Linked DNA regions of Saccharomyces cerevisiae S288C. The gene in region 3 interacts genetically with the main gene of each other region. Each region holds a gene or a part of one and is shown on either strand. Other genes may lie near its edges.

What was found. A genetic interaction does not mean that the proteins touch.
Region 1: of HOP2 (region 3) and CLB1, extra expression of one rescues a mutant of the other (dosage rescue), as found in Saccharomyces cerevisiae (one study listed by BioGRID).
Region 2: of HOP2 (region 3) and RED1, extra expression of one rescues a mutant of the other (dosage rescue), as found in Saccharomyces cerevisiae (one study listed by BioGRID).

The regions. Positions count from the first base shown.
Region 1 is NC_001139.9:701,731-706,610, reverse strand, and holds CLB1 (B-type cyclin CLB1), read right to left. Parts: upstream 2,976-4,880; coding exon 1,560-2,975; downstream 1-1,559. Other genes in the region: B-type cyclin CLB6, read left to right, coding at 110-1,252. UniProt on the Saccharomyces cerevisiae protein: Essential for the control of the cell cycle at the G2/M (mitosis) transition. Interacts with the CDC2 protein kinase to form MPF. G2/M cyclins accumulate steadily during G2 and are abruptly destroyed at mitosis.
Region 2 is NC_001144.5:668,609-674,382, forward strand, and holds RED1 (Red1p), read left to right. Parts: upstream 1-1,731; coding exon 1,732-4,215; downstream 4,216-5,774. Other genes in the region: Rab family GTPase YPT6, read right to left, coding at 1-283; TMA7 (Tma7p), read right to left, coding at 860-1,054; 40S ribosomal protein eS28 RPS28B, read left to right, coding at 4,523-4,726; YLR264C-A (uncharacterized protein), read right to left, coding at 5,220-5,336.
Region 3 is NC_001139.9:433,026-438,203, forward strand, and holds HOP2 (Hop2p), read left to right. Parts: upstream 1-2,599; coding exon 2,600-2,654; intron 2,655-2,724; coding exon 2,725-3,287; intron 3,288-3,349; coding exon 3,350-3,376; downstream 3,377-5,178. Other genes in the region: transcription factor MIG1, read right to left, coding at 1-37; YGL034C (uncharacterized protein), read right to left, coding at 189-554; AGA2 (Aga2p), read right to left, coding at 3,545-3,808; 60S ribosomal protein eL24 RPL24A, read right to left, coding at 4,442-4,909. UniProt on the Saccharomyces cerevisiae protein: Required for proper homologous chromosome pairing and efficient cross-over and intragenic recombination during meiosis. Stimulates DMC1-dependent homologous strand assimilation required for the resolution of meiotic double-strand breaks.

The DNA.
Region 1 (4,880 bases), 270 kb from region 3:
TTATTAAATAATAACAAGCTTCACTAATCTAGCGTTCATACAACATACAAATCAGTGTGTTGAAAATTATTATTCTCTGATATTCTCTCCCTCCTTTTAAATTTTTAAAATGAATTGTATCCCTAGTCCAATTAGTGAAAGGAAAATCCAAATTAATAATGAAGATTGTATAGGCAAGGAAAATGCTTTCCATACCATTCCAAGAGAAAGTTCAATTAACTTGACACCTCACTCTACGAATGAAAAAAAAGTTCTATCCGAGGTAAACAGTAACAAAATCGATTCTTTACAACTCCCTCGAGGTAAATTGCAAAGAGATTCCACCCATTTGGAAAAAACAAGAAAGAGACAATTATCAAATGATTCAACCGATCCTATAGAGCCAAAAACTGTGAAAAAAATAAAATGTCATCAATGGAAAAATTTGGATTCGATAGAGATGGATGATCCATTCATGGTAGCAGAATATACAGATTCTATATTTTCTCATCTTTACGAGAAGGAAATCCAAATGCTACCGACACATAACTATTTAATGGACACGCAATCTCCCTATCATTTGAAAAGCTCCATGAGGGCGCTGTTAATTGACTGGTTGGTTGAAGTTCATGAGAAATTTCACTGCTTACCTGAAACATTATTTTTAGCGATCAACCTGCTAGATCGATTTTTATCACAAAATGTTGTTAAATTGAATAAATTACAACTACTATGCATCACTTGCCTGTTCATTGCCTGTAAATTTGAAGAAGTTAAATTACCAAAAATAACAAATTTTGCGTACGTGACTGACGGTGCTGCCACTGTCGAAGGAATTAGGAAGGCTGAGCTATTCGTTCTAAGTTCTTTAGGTTATAACATATCTCTACCAAACCCCCTAAATTTCATTAGGAGAATTTCAAAAGCTGACAATTACTGCATTGAAACAAGGAACATGGCCAAATTCATCATGGAATATTCGATTTGTTGTAATAAATTCATCCACCTGAAGCCATCATATTTAGCTGCAATGTCCATGTATATCGCCAGAAAAATTAAAAATGAAAATTCCAAATGGGATGAAACTTTTATTCATTATAGTGGCGGCATTGATATTGAATCAGATCCAGCGTTTAAGGATTTTATCAGTGAACTAGTTGAAGATATTGCTGTACCTGATACGAATCTAGATTCCTTGAGACTTAAATACAAAAAGCCTAAACATGGCATGGTTTATTTCAAGGTTTTTGACTGGTGTAAACAAAAACGTTGAAACATAGATCAAAATTATAGCCAGCTAACCCCCTGCATCTTAAATATCATCGATAGACATACTTCTTTATTTCTTTTATGTATTCAAAAAAAGAAAGAAAATGCATTATTCCTCACTTTAAAGATAATTTTCCAATTATGGGAGAAAAAATTTATAAATGAATTAATTATTACAGCCTACAAAACTGATACCGTGTGATAATATATATGAGATAACCGTTATATGAATAATGAATGCCTGATTTTTCTATAAAATAGATGATAAAGTAAGGAAGTGAGATTTTGGTTTTCTGTGTAGGCTAGCACCTTCACTCATGCAATGTCATAATATCATATCCATTTTTCCTTACCTTCAATGCCCATTCGATAGAAATTATGGAAGCCTTTAAAAATCTTCTCGATTGATATTTTTTCAAGAACTCGTCGTGAATAGTAGATCCAACAAGATAATCCATCAGTAATTGGCAAACGGGATATAGTTTTGCCTTTGTGTAACCACCACTATAATGGATTAAGTTGCCATCCCAGGTGCCCTTGCCCAGCATTTTTCTCGAAAGGAACATTGCCGCTGAGGCACATAATGACGGTAATATCCCGATGAACTTGAAGTCCACTATAGATATTTCCATTAGGAACTTCGCTAACGTCCTAGACTGGATATCATAGTCATCCGCTTTTGATATTCTCCTTAAGAAATTCATTGGGTTAGCGAAACTAATTTGAAAATCGAGTTTTTCCAATATAAATCTTTCACCCTCTTTAATATCTTCCACAGAGCATGCACCGTCTGTCTCGTACGCAAAATGTTTTATGCTAGGGGAGTATATTTCCTCATACTTAGATGCGATGAACAGGCATGATGTACCAACCAGTTGCAATCTATTTAACTGAACCACCTCTTCACAAAGAAATCTATCCATTATGTTTATGGCCAAATATAGAGTTTCCGGCAGAAGGCCAAACTTATTATGAATCTTGATTATCCAGTTCACCAAAATGTCTCTGTTTTGCTTAATATTTTTATGCTTATAGAGATTCGCCTTATTTGGCAATGTGATTATTTCCAAGTGATGCAAATAATCGAAGATATCATTAACCTCTTCGCTCACCATTAAGGGATCATCACAATCTTCTTCATCTAGGTCATCCCATTCGTACTCCTCCAGAACCTCTTCTTCTGTAGTCAATTCATGGAGTTTGAACTTTTTCTGGTCATCCTGCTCTACAAGAGTTGATATTGGCCTTTTTTTTTTGGAATCTTCTCTCATTATTTTTTTCTGCCATTCCATTTGAGTGGAAATAGACTTGTTCTCAGAGTATATCAACCGATTACAGCTCAAGGCAGTCGAATTCGTATGAAAAGAGTCATCATTTGAGCACTGCTGCTTTTCTTGCTCGGAATATCCATATTCAGGAATATTTTCCTTATTGTTTAGTACTTCTTGTTTCACCCCCTGTCTACTGTCATTAAAAGAGGAGGTGAAGTCATCGGCTCTCGAAACATCATCCTTTAAAGGAAAGAAGTTGTTCAATTTTGAGAAGTTCTTCATCCCAATTTTTCTGTTCATAGAAATCTCTTGCAGGATATTTGCATTATTTGTGACATTACCGAGAATGGTCCTTGGGACGTTTCTCTTTTGTAAGATATATTGACTTTCGTTTACCCCCTTCTCTTCATTACTATTAATGGTTCTACTATTCTCTACCAAAAGGGATCGTGACATTATGAGAAGATTAAAGCTTCCTTTGATGGTTGATATAACGGACGAAAATATTTTGGCTCTGTTCTTGTTGGTAGATCTTATTCTTAATTACGCTTTTGTGATCTAAACAGCTGCACCAGTTAGCAACTTTAATAGTTTTAAGAAACTATACCAAGAGCCACAAGTAAAACTGTCGCTGGAAAAACCGAAGACACTAAAATTGCAGCCTGCTCAAGTTTGGCCGAATGTAAAAAACACAATACAACCAAAATTGCCTAGAATAGATCACCCTAGTATCTTCTTCTTACACAGAAGTGCAATAACTTCTATTACTTAATATATATAACTACACGCCGTATTCATAAAAGAAGGATCAAACCCGTTTCTGCAGAGGAAGACGAATGAGGAAATCACAAACAAAACAAATTGGGCAGACCGTATGCGGAACGCAAATTGAAGTAATATGTTATGTACGTTCCGCACCTAACTTGCAGGATACCCATAAATGATGCTGTAAAAATGCAAGTTGAAAATGATTAATTAATACAACAAATTTAAAGTTACCGTTGACGTGAGTTTTATGGTGCTTCTATATTTTGTGTCCGCTTCTTGATTGTTGATGTTTTTCCTCTTTGGGCGGTTGTAAACAAAAGGTCGTGCCCGTTTTGTGAGAGCCCCTACTCGAAAACGGTAGTGAAAAACCGCCCAAATGATGCATCTAGTAAAGAAAACTAATTGAAGCGCGTCTGTGTGTGCCTGCTTCAAGAATGACACTGGGCATGCATAGCCTCGTTGAAAAGTCCACTTGCAATACGACGAAAGAGGAGCCAGTAGCACATAATTAATCGGAGGGAATCTCGATCGTGTCCTATTCAAATTTGGAAGAAACGCCTTTTTTAACAGAGCGGGCGGACTTTCAATAAAATTGGATGCAAAAAAAAAAAATGACTGAGTACAAGCGAAGCTTACTAAATAATTGGATAACACCATGAATGATATTATGGAGCAATTCGATAGTTCAAAAATTGACAAAGACAATGCTTTTACGCATCAATAAAAAATGCCGTAACTGTTGCAGTTTTCAGCGTTAGTTTCAATTTTAAGATTATTTTTACTATGAATAGAAGATAAATATTTTCATTTCCCCCCCAGTTGTTGTCATTATGAACATATAAAACATTCATTTACTCTTGTTTATTATCATTCATAGATCAAGAATATATGGTAAATAACGCAAGAAGCTCTTGGAACAATCGTAATGATAAAATAGAAAAGAACAATTGCGCTGTAAATTCTTACGTCCAAAACAATTGTAGTTTAATGCGGGTGAAAATACGTTAACATTAGGCTTGTTTCCAACGAGAACTGTGGCAAGGAAATGTAAACATTAGCATTGCAAAGTCTCTTGCCGAACCTATAGATTACCGATTGAACTTGGCTTGCTACGTATTTTCGAAGTAGTGGATATTTTCATCTTGATTGATTTCTGCTAAAATAACAATCAGTTATCTTCCGCATATTACTCATGCAACAAACTGAAGCTATTATTTACCTTACATCGAATTTTCAAGAAGCGATGATAAAAAATGGTGTGAAATTATATGACCTGAAGACCAGAATTAAACAATCATTGAACCTGACAGAAGCTGATGCACGAAAGTTGATACTTTAAAAAGTATTCTGCGTAAGAAAACCAAACTTAAATATTGCCTTCAAAATTAATTTGTATCAATTGCACGAACAGTTGATGGACTATTATGTCATGAAGAAGAACCGCTTCAATTGCCAATATACATAAAGCTAATAGCAATGATATAAATAGAATTTCGGAACCACCGTTAAGTCCTACTGGATTTTCTCGGTCTGAATAGAATGTTGGAACAGGTTGGTTGCCATTCCCTACATATGTAACTATGGTGATAATCT
Region 2 (5,774 bases), on a different chromosome or scaffold from region 3:
TCTTCGTAATGTCGTAAACGATAATAGCAACTCTCGAATCTCTGATATATGAAGGTATTAATGATCTAAATCTTTCCTGACCTGCTGTATCCCATAACTGTAATCTAATTGTCTTATCATCCAAATACATGGTCTTGGAAAGAAAATCTATACCAATCGTGGCTTGGTAATGATCATCGAACGTATCATACATAAATCTAGTGATCAGCGATGTTTTTCCAACACCCTGTTCTCCCAAAAAAACAATTTTGTACTTTGTCAATGATTTCCCGGATCTGCTCATTGTTAATCTCTTCTTTGTTTATCTTTTACTGTTCAGAATCAACAGCTTCAAACACTTCTTTTCACACAACCTTAAGTGCCCAATTGTGATATTCTTACATCATACATAGTAACAATCTATATATGGGCAATATTTTCCTCCACTAATTGAGCTGTGCTGAAGGCTTTATTACCCGGAAATTATTCGGCCATTTTTCACTAGAAGTTAATACCAGCACTAACGAATAGAAGCACCCTATTCTACTCAAGATGCCCGGTTCATGAATAGGGAGAAGTATTTTTCTTATTTTCCTTAGCCATCTATAAATATTTATCCTTATGCCTGTCACCACAATAGAAAAGGGTCCATTATATATCAGTTGTTTTCGTACCTCTAGAGAGACACGCAAGGGGCTTTATTTAGGAAACCTCCAAATTTGCTAGATGTAACCATTATACATAGTAATTACGATTGTAAAACATCGGAAAGAACGATATATCTTGCAAATAGCTTTTCTTTGGTAATATATGTATTTACTTAAAAAACGAGAACTAGAAAATACTGAGTAAATTTTTATTAGACGTTGTTAAAGGCCTTTTATTTCTTACCAGATTTTTTGATACCACCACCCACTAAAGGTTTACCACTTTTCATATTAGCCATCAAAGCTTTCTTAGCAGCAGCATCGGCCTTTTGCTTCTCTTTGAAGGCAATGTCTTCAGGATCTAAGTCCTGTTGTTGCTTCTTCTTTTGCTTTAGAGGCTTCATCTTACCACCTTGGCGACTAGACATGATTGCTTAGGGTTTTTCAGTTATTCTTCTGGTTTTGCAACTTACTGTGCGTGGAAGAGCAATCAATTACAGGATTTTAAACATGAAATTTTTTATTTTCCTCGTTCATTTTCGTCGCGGGAAACTTCCAGAAGTATAGATTTACTACAATTTTTATCTCAGGACAGAAAGAATAAACCAAAAAAGCCAAGACAAGCCAAGCCAAGCCGAGGCGACTGGAGGAGCTTTTCATCACATTCAATGACAAATCACAACAGGTTTCCCTGTTAGAAAAGGCATGTGCACTCACAATTCATATTTTCATACAGAAGATATACATTGGATTTCTGGAGATATCAGGTAAGGTTCGACAAAAACAATGGCGTTTGCCAACCCTTTATGATGGGTGATCTTGTATCCGCTTAATTGTGTGATCTAAAAAGGCAAAGTAACGTATTATTGGCTGGTTTATATAATTTGAATATGACTACTTTTTCAACGTTAAAAACGATAAATACTTGCTCAAAGGGTTCAGCGGCTAAATAAACTACGATTTCGCAGCAGGATCAGATGGATTCAATCACATCATTCGCAAAACATTCACATCATTCGTGAAGCATTAAAGGTAATAAGAAAAATAGAACAAAGATTTTTTAATCAGTGAGGACCACAAAGGGACAGCAAATACGGTGATAAGAATGGAAGGTTTGAAGAAAAAGATTTTTGGTGTTTGCCTGAAAAATGACTTAGCACAGACTAGGAATGAAACGAAAGGAATCCACTATGGGTTAATGACTTTGGAAACTTCTAAACAACTGCAGGAATTTCTCCATTTGCTAGTAATAAAGAGAGAAGTAATTCAAAATTTTGAGTTGTTATTTCACATCATAAATGTTGCCGTTAAAATCACCGATTCAAATCTTCCAAGTGATGATATCTGGCATTTCATTTTAAAATTAAGATTTTCTTCTGAGATTAATATAGACGAAGACTCCAAAGTTTTAAATTATTTACTTGAGACTGGCATCGCAATGGAAAATCCAGTCAGTTGGAAATGCTTGGCCGTTATTAGCAGCATCCTCAGCAGTGTCCCTCAATCCAAAAAGATTATAACTAACCTGATCGAGACAGAACATGCCAAAAAGATTGGTCAGTTGTTTGATAATATTCAAGATTTGCAACAAGGAAATTTTCTGGTGGAAATTCTCTCTAACTGTTTTAAAAAAAGTGCTTCAAATTCCAAGAAAGTGGAAAAAATACCTCAGTTATGGCAAAGCAGGTCTAAGAACAAGTTTTTCTTTGAAAATGAATTTTACCCTTTTAGCAGCAAAAATGGGAGCTTACAAACCTGCCAATTCCTGTGCAATAATTTCATGTCAACTTTATCCTTTACGGGTATTCTAAGGCAGGTTTCTTATAGCGGATCTGAAACATTAAAAAATCTCCGTATATTTAAGAAAAAAGACGATGAAAATTCTTACTTCATTCAGTGCATTTACAACAAAATCTATCTTTGGTTAGACGAAAAAGCCCCTTTGGAATTTGAAAGAAAGAAAATCAGGATTACCAAAAACTTAAAAAATAAAATTCAAATTAAATTGAGGCAACCTTTCCATGAATGTGTGAGAACTACCGCTGATAAAACAGCACTCTTATTTAACAAAACGAAGGGGTTTCAGCTGGAATTTGAAGACGAGAAATTAGGTGAAACTTTTTTTCACAATGTCAACAATATACCTAAGATTAGTGAAGTACAAAACTTTTTAGTTTTAGACTATATTGAAGAAGAACCAGAGAATGAAGGTGAAGAAGAAGAGCAAATCGGAAGGGCAGATGAGCAGAAAGAGGATGAAGAGGAAGAATCTCTCGATGAATTATCCACTCCCATGGTATATCCAATAAAATCATCTATTCCCCATAATCATAACGAAAAGGTTCAGTTAGTCACTCCCGACCGTTCTGTTTCCATAAGATCTGATGAATGGGATTTAAAGTCAAATACTGAAGACGAAGAAGGTAATGTTCTTGCAGACCTGAAAATAAGCAGCACTAAGGAAACAAAAAGGCAAACAGACTACGTCCATATTGATTCAGAAGACCAGTCACCAGTAGTATCCGCTCAGATGAGAAAAATGAGAAGAGAATCTACGAAAACACTAGAAATATTGAGACAAGAGTTTAAAGATAAGGATGTACAAAACAAAGAAGACCAGTCCGAACAAATACAAAACCCGTTTGTAAATACATCCTCGTTAGTTGTAGGTAAATCCTGTCTTGTTAATCCTAAGGAAAAGCCTAATATTGATCAAACGGTAGTCGGAATAACCGAATTAAAGTCAAATTCTTCCATTAAGAAAAGGGATATCAACATTCTCGACACTATATTTGGGCAACCTCCGTCCAAGAAGCAAAAACAATTCCACAAAAAGGAGAAAAAGAAGCAGCAGAAAAAGTTGACAAACTTTAAGCCCATTATCGATGTCCCTTCCCAAGATAAACGAAACCTTAGGTCAAACGCTCCGACAAAACCCAAATCCATAAAAGTAAGTAAGCTGCGTACCGATAAGAAAGTTACAGGGGAAAAATCAAGCCCAGAAACAGCGGCAGAGAAAGTTGATGATCAAACTGTGCGTAGCAACGATGAACAAGCAATGAGCAGAGCAACTAAAGAAAAGTGCTTTCCAGATGTCAATGAAGGCAAAGAAATTACTAAGGATGACGCTAAAGTATCTCTCGAGTCCAAAAAAAACAACGAAACTTTTGTTGATTCAAGTGTAGTAGAAAAACATACCCCCCCAGACAAAGACTGTAACAATTGTAACATTACAGATATTTTGGAATCTACCACTGTTATCGACTTGCAGTCACCCCATGGATTATCTGCTCCTGGTCAGAATACTTTCACAAACAAACTTCAAGAACAAATTTATAGTTCAATAAATCATTTTTCTAACGAATTGGTAAGAAAAATTTCGATAATAAACCAAGAGTTAAATAAGAAAATCTTAAAAGAGTTGTCCGAAAAATACCAAAAACTATTCTCCGAATTACAAGATAATTTCCAGAATGATACCAATGAGATGCTTAAATTCATGGGCGAGATCAAAGACATGATGAATCTCCCGGAAGATCAGCTCGTTCATGCTATTAGGACAAGAAAATTTGATAACAACAAGAGATAAATAGTATACATATACGCAATTCTTTTTAGATTTAAGATGGCTAATAAAAGTAATATAGGCAAGCTTATTCATGTTCGAATCTTTTTTTTCTCGCAGAGCTAGTACTCTGGCAATCGACACTTATTTCGTACAAAATGATCACGCAACTTTTGACAATTTTTTTTTTTTCATCTGTTTTCCAGGAAACTTGGATCTTTTTTGCTCCATAGCACTTTTGGTCTTCCTCAATTAAATATTTCTAGATCCCGGTAGTTCTTCTTCTTTGATCATTAATAAAAAATAAGCAAAGCATAAAAGAGCAGCAAAAATGGATTCTAAGACCCCAGTCACCTTAGCTAAAGTCATCAAAGTTTTAGGCCGTACCGGTTCTCGTGGTGGTGTTACCCAAGTTCGTGTTGAGTTCTTGGAAGACACTTCCCGTACCATTGTCAGAAATGTCAAGGGTCCAGTTAGAGAAAACGACATTTTGGTCTTGATGGAATCTGAACGTGAAGCTCGTCGTTTGCGTTAAAGGTATATTAAAAAATTTACTATTGGTGCTCTTCGAGCATTGTTTTTTTTCTATATTTACAAACAACAGCTTATTTTTTAATATTTCTCAAAAAATGAAGTTCGAATGATTATTTTAATTGAGTTTAGTGATGAAATCGATTGCAAATAATATAAACGTTGGTAAGCTCATCTAAACAATCGAAAGGAGGGATAGAAGACAGTAGGTGTTTGTGCTTTGGTCGGTTTTTCCATTCGGTGAATTCATACATCTCCTTTATTAATTTTAATGGATTCTTTACAAGGGATTTTCGGTTGCCAAAAACAGAGAACAAATGCGTAGAAATACTCAATGATGTCAATTTTTCAAAAAATGAATTAAATGATTGAAGTCACTTAATTTTTGTGGTTTTTTGGAGGTGGGTTGAGTGTACAACTCACTATAATTGATGAGATATTCGACGAACTTGTTACTTTTTTGGATTCCAGAATGTTTACTGAATTTTAAGAATTAATTAATTTGAGGCTAACCTGTATGGCATGGAATAACGAATCGACAAGAAGTCTCTTACTGTAACTTTCTTTTTTTTTGGTGCATCTATCGTTAAATACAATTTAAATATTACATTCATGTACTTACTCAATATAATAATCTGATTACTTCATACAATAGAAGAGAAAGAAACAGTCTCTAAAACTGCTGTCATAACGCGTGGTGTTGTGGTTTTGCTTAATTTTTTTAGACCCATGCACCAGATATTGATCCAATTTTTTTTTGTGGCTCTTTTGCCAATCGCTCTTATTAAGTAAGTTTACATCCGCGGTTATGTTTTGCGTCTAAATTTCATTTACAGTGATGGCGAGCTTGCGCGGCTATTTTTTATGCAGTTTATCATTTAGACACTCAGAAGCTGCAGTGATGTAAGATACTGCTTGAAACTACCGTTAGATTAATAATAAACAATTAGAACTGTCCTAATACATATAAACTTATATGCTCCCTATCAATGGCATAACGTTACCATTCAATAAATTAACATTATCAATGCGTCAACAAAGGAATAGAACTA
Region 3 (5,178 bases):
CGTTAGACACTTGTGTCATTGGATATGGGCTTTGCATGGCTATGGTAGTATGTCGTCTCCACTATACTCAACTCTCGTGTAGTTACAAGCGAGCTAGAATAAATGGCTCTCTTATCTTCGAAATGCTTTACCGGGCTTTCTTACTCTCCTTTGTCTTCGTTAATGAGTACTGGGGTGAAAAAAAAGGGTTATAATAAATAAATTATCCAAGAACGACTATTCTCTTTTCTTTTTTCTGCTTGCTCTTCCCCACTTTTCTCGTCCAGCCTGTTGTAAAAATTTGTTGTTGCTTCTTTCGTATTAGTTTTTCCGAAAGAAAGCGCCGCAGGGCCTTTACCATCACTCCAGGTTTTCCCGGAGTGGGGTGGCAGTCCGCAGTCTCTCGCGAAATCAAAGGCAACAAGCAGACACGTGGAGAAAAGCCAGGAGAACTCAAGAGCTCGAACAAGTATGCTAGCAACTAAACAAGCCGGCCTACGCCACTCTGGAGTTTCTCGCGGGGCCCGGCCGCTACAGGTTTCCTGAGAAGCCATTATAATGGCAACTACATTCATCAACACTCCATAAAATCCTATCGAGTTACACTGCTAGTGTCGCAATTGCGCTTTTCTGCTGCTTAATTGTGGGCCCCAAGCTCTTATCACTTGCTACCATCCTATAAACTGTATGGAATGCCATCACAACTTTCGGAAAAATAAAGCGCTTTTTTACGCTATCAGTGGAGATATTACGAATTAGGCACAGGGAAGAAATAGATAAAAAATTCATGGGGCCAACCCCAGACGTCAATCTTCTACACGTCAAGTTTTGAAAAAAATTAAATAAAAAATAAAAAAAAAAACCGGCGCGAAGGAAACGTGCTGGCTCGCTAACTTCTAGTCTTACTGTACTGACTACCTTCCAGTCCTACTGGTTATACTGCATTGTACGGCAACTTACACACCCCACGCACTTACTTTCCTCCACAATGCCATCTAGAAAAATCGATTACCCGCTAATTTTCCGGGAAAAAGTCGATTAATGTAGGTTAGTGGCAGCTATGCTAAGCAATGATAAAGGAACCATACACGATATTTCTACAGAAGGCTATTAAATAGGGTGAAATAGGATGAAGCAACAATCAAAAATTATGAAAGCATCCGTTTTCTCGCTATTCTAATAATGGGACAGAACTGCCAATTCTTGATCTGGTGATCCATACGATTAAAATAGGGGTTCATCGCATGGAAAGTCTGTAAATCACACTTGCCTACCATAAGGAAGTCATCAATTCCCGAATTTTAAACGGGTTTCTATGAGTATTTGGAGGATGTTCATTCTTGGTAACATTACTGATGACATTCAGTGATACACTGCCTTCAAGGAAACACACGCGATAGAGGCAAAACAATGTTGCAACGGCAATTAATTTCTGTCATTGTAATGAATTTCTGCTCGTTGCTTCTAACCATATCTTGTGTAACGCTTGCGTTGATATGCAAAAATAACGAGATGGAATTTGCTGCCCTCTTTCAGCCATATGATGGCGGCAAAAACTTTGAAATTTGTGCACAGGATATAATAAGCTACTTCTTGACTCTAACGCCGTACTACAGTTTACAAAAAATGTATACAAACTCTTAGGATTGGTCAAGAAAAGTAAATGTTGTACTGCTCCAAAGATATTGCGATGCCGTGATAATTCAAAAGGGTCGACCCAGTCTATTTCACTCGCGCGATAATCGTTCGTTATCCGAAGCTGGCCAATTGATACAATTAATTGACATCAGCAGACAGCAAATGCACTTGATATACGCAGCTTAAAGCAAGGGTAAATTATCTGAAAAAGGATTGAATACAATCAAAACCTTCACATACATTGGTAGTAATATCGAGCATCGCTATTAGCAGAGTATCTCGAAGTCTACCACGGCGAAAGTTGATTTTTTATCTGAGGTGCTGATCTTCGGACGCAATGCGCAAACGTAATTCCGTAGTTTTCCCAATTATTTTATTTTTTAAATTACACGTACCAGGTAGATCACATACATATACCCAACACCTGTTATATAGTGAATTGAATTATTCGGAACATCAATAATCCTTTGCTTATAATTCTTGTTATCATCCATCTTGCATCTTTATTTAATTATATTTTGCACAATAAGCTATCTATGTGAGCTGCGTACGGTGACTCCAAACAATCTGTTAATTTCCATATAAATAACTTGTAGTCGGATCGTACAATGGCTCTATATAGGTTTGGACCGGTATGTAACCTAATATGGCTGACTCAAAACCTGCTAGATAGTTATCCAAGTGAATTTGAGTCTCGTATCCTTTATCACATTTTTACAATAGTGGCTAGCTATCTTTTTCATGTTAGGCTCACCCGGTATTCTCATGCAAGATCAAACAAAAAATGGTAAAGTTTTGGACTTTACATTGCTTACAGTTGCTTTTTTATGAAGATTCAAAAGATTATGTCCTCGGCGGCTAAATTTTCCATTAATAATATTATCCTTTTACGCGACCGAAAAAGAGAAGCGTTTTAAGAGTTGTTTCTAACAAATATTAATAATAAAGCTAACGTGAACTGACCAGGCTCTATTTGAAAGATATGGCACCGAAAAAGAAATCAAACGATAGAGCCATTCAGGCAAAAGGCTCAGAAGGTTAAGTATTTTTTTACATGCTCATCAAATACCGCCATTACTAACAATTGTACCCCGGGTATTTTATCAGCTGAACAATTAATAGAAGATTACTTGGTGTCACAATATAAACCATTTTCTGTAAATGATATAGTTCAGAATTTGCACAATAAAGTGACAAAAACAACAGCAACCAAAGCATTAGAAAATCTCGTTAACGAGAAACGCATAGTGTCTAAAACCTTCGGAAAGATTATAATTTACTCTTGTAATGAACAAGATACAGCATTACCAAGCAATATTGATCCTTCTCAGTTTGATTTTGAAACTGTATTGCAACTGAGAAATGATTTAATAGAACTAGAGAGAGATAAATCAACGGCCAAAGACGCTCTTGACTCTGTAACTAAAGAACCTGAAAATGAAGATCTCCTAACAATCATTGAAAACGAAGAAAACGAGTTGAAAAAGATTGAATCAAAATTACAAAGTCTACAGGATGATTGGGATCCAGCAAATGATGAGATTGTCAAGCGGATAATGTCTGAAGATACGCTGCTACAAAAAGAAATCACGAAGAGATCAAAGATTTGCAAAAACCTAATTGCTACAATAAAGGACTCAGTGTGCCCGAAAAATATGAATGAATTTTTGGTATGTATTTTGAACATTTTTCGAGACCTTTTCTTTTGAATATACTAACGAAATCTTTACAGGAAGAAATTGGATTTGAGGACATTTGATGTGAAAAGCAATTGGTTGTTCCGTACCGGAACACTTGCTATTTTACTTATCATGATTGTTTTTTTTTCTTATTCTTTGCTATTATTATCAAATTATATATAGGTAAATAATCTTACACTAGTTTATAAGTGTCACGAACGATGAAATGGAAACTTGGGGGGGAAGGCTCAAAAAACATACTGTGTGTTTATGGGGCTGCCTTTGCTAGTTGTTGAGGGGTGAGAACCGCAATTACTGACAAACGTTACTGATTTGTAATATTCAAAAACTCCTTGCATTGCCTTCCCGTTGGCCAAAATAGTAGTCGTTGACAAAGAGTACGGCGTCGATTCTAAAGTTGGTGAGGGGATTTGCTCGCATATAGTTGTCAGTTCCTGTGCTAAAACTGAAGCAATAACAGAAAATATTGAAAAACAGCGAAGTAACTGCATCTTAATTGAAAATGTATGAAGTAGGTATAATATTTTGGCACACAAGTGACTGTTGAGAGCTTACAATCATTCTAGAATGAGGAATACGTCAAAATGGAAACTTAACATATCACCTCTTCTTACAACTATTTATATTGTATATTTACAAGGGAAATCAATTGCCTGATATTCAGTATATTGGATCTGAAGGTATGAAACAGTCCCTTAATTAAGCTTTAGATGCGGACAGAAGTTTTTTTGTTAAACTTGCATGTCAAATTTCAAACTGCGTGTAATTACCGTATTCGGAAATTACATGGTTTCAGTAATTTTGCAATAAACGCAGCAACCGGTGATGGCGAAGTTTTACCATCAAACAATAACTTATAATAACTGAATGCCGGCAGGTTGAAACAAATTCTTGAAAATTAGTCATTTATTCTATTGTGCGAATGTAATCCACTGAAATCATCTAAAGCACCATTACCATTGTCTAGCCTGTGAATAAAAAAATATGGGAGTATAATGATAGAGAAGTGGATGGTAGATTATACCTCGCGAATGAATTATACAGAAAATAATACTAAATTGAAATATTTAAAAATGATTTAAAAGAAAAATATTCATTGTACATAATAAGTTCGAGCATAAATCTTAACGAGAAGTAGCAGCAACCTTTTGGAAAGCACCCTTAGCTTGTTGCTTGGAGAACTTAGAACTTTGAGTACCAGCAGACTTAGCCTTTTCAGCCTTTCTAGCAGCCTTTTCAGCCTTCTTCTTTTCTTTGTTGGCCTTCAATTTTTCTTCTCTGTTAGCCTTTCTAACTTCTGGCTTCAAAGATCTTCTTTCCTTGATCAAGTCCAAAGAAGCACCGGTAATTGGTCTTTGGGCCTTAACGGTTTTTCTAGATCTCTTCTTAGCAACTTCTTCGGTGATACCCTTCTTGTGATGCTTTCTGAATAAGACAGTCCAAGCGATTCTTCTTGGGTTCTTTCTTTGCTTGAACAAAGAGGCAGATTTGGAGTTTTGGAATCTGAAGATTTTGGAGTCACCACGGACAAACAAGGTACCTCTGCCTGGGTAGATTTTGGCACCTGAAAAAGAATCGATTTCAACCTTCATTTTATCACTATATTAATCCACGTTTTTCAAACATATTTGAAAAAAAAAATGTTAGTAAGTCTATGCTTTTCATAGGTAGCCATCTTGTCAATATAAATAATGGTAATCCGCATGGTTGTTCAGGCGTTCGCAAAATTGTAGGAAGAGGAGAACGTGGAAATATGGACTTTTTGCAAATTCAGAATTCATTTTACTAGGTTCTTGCAACATGGATAACATCTCACGCTGTTATTTTTCATGCTTCTCCATATCGTATATATGTAATGAAG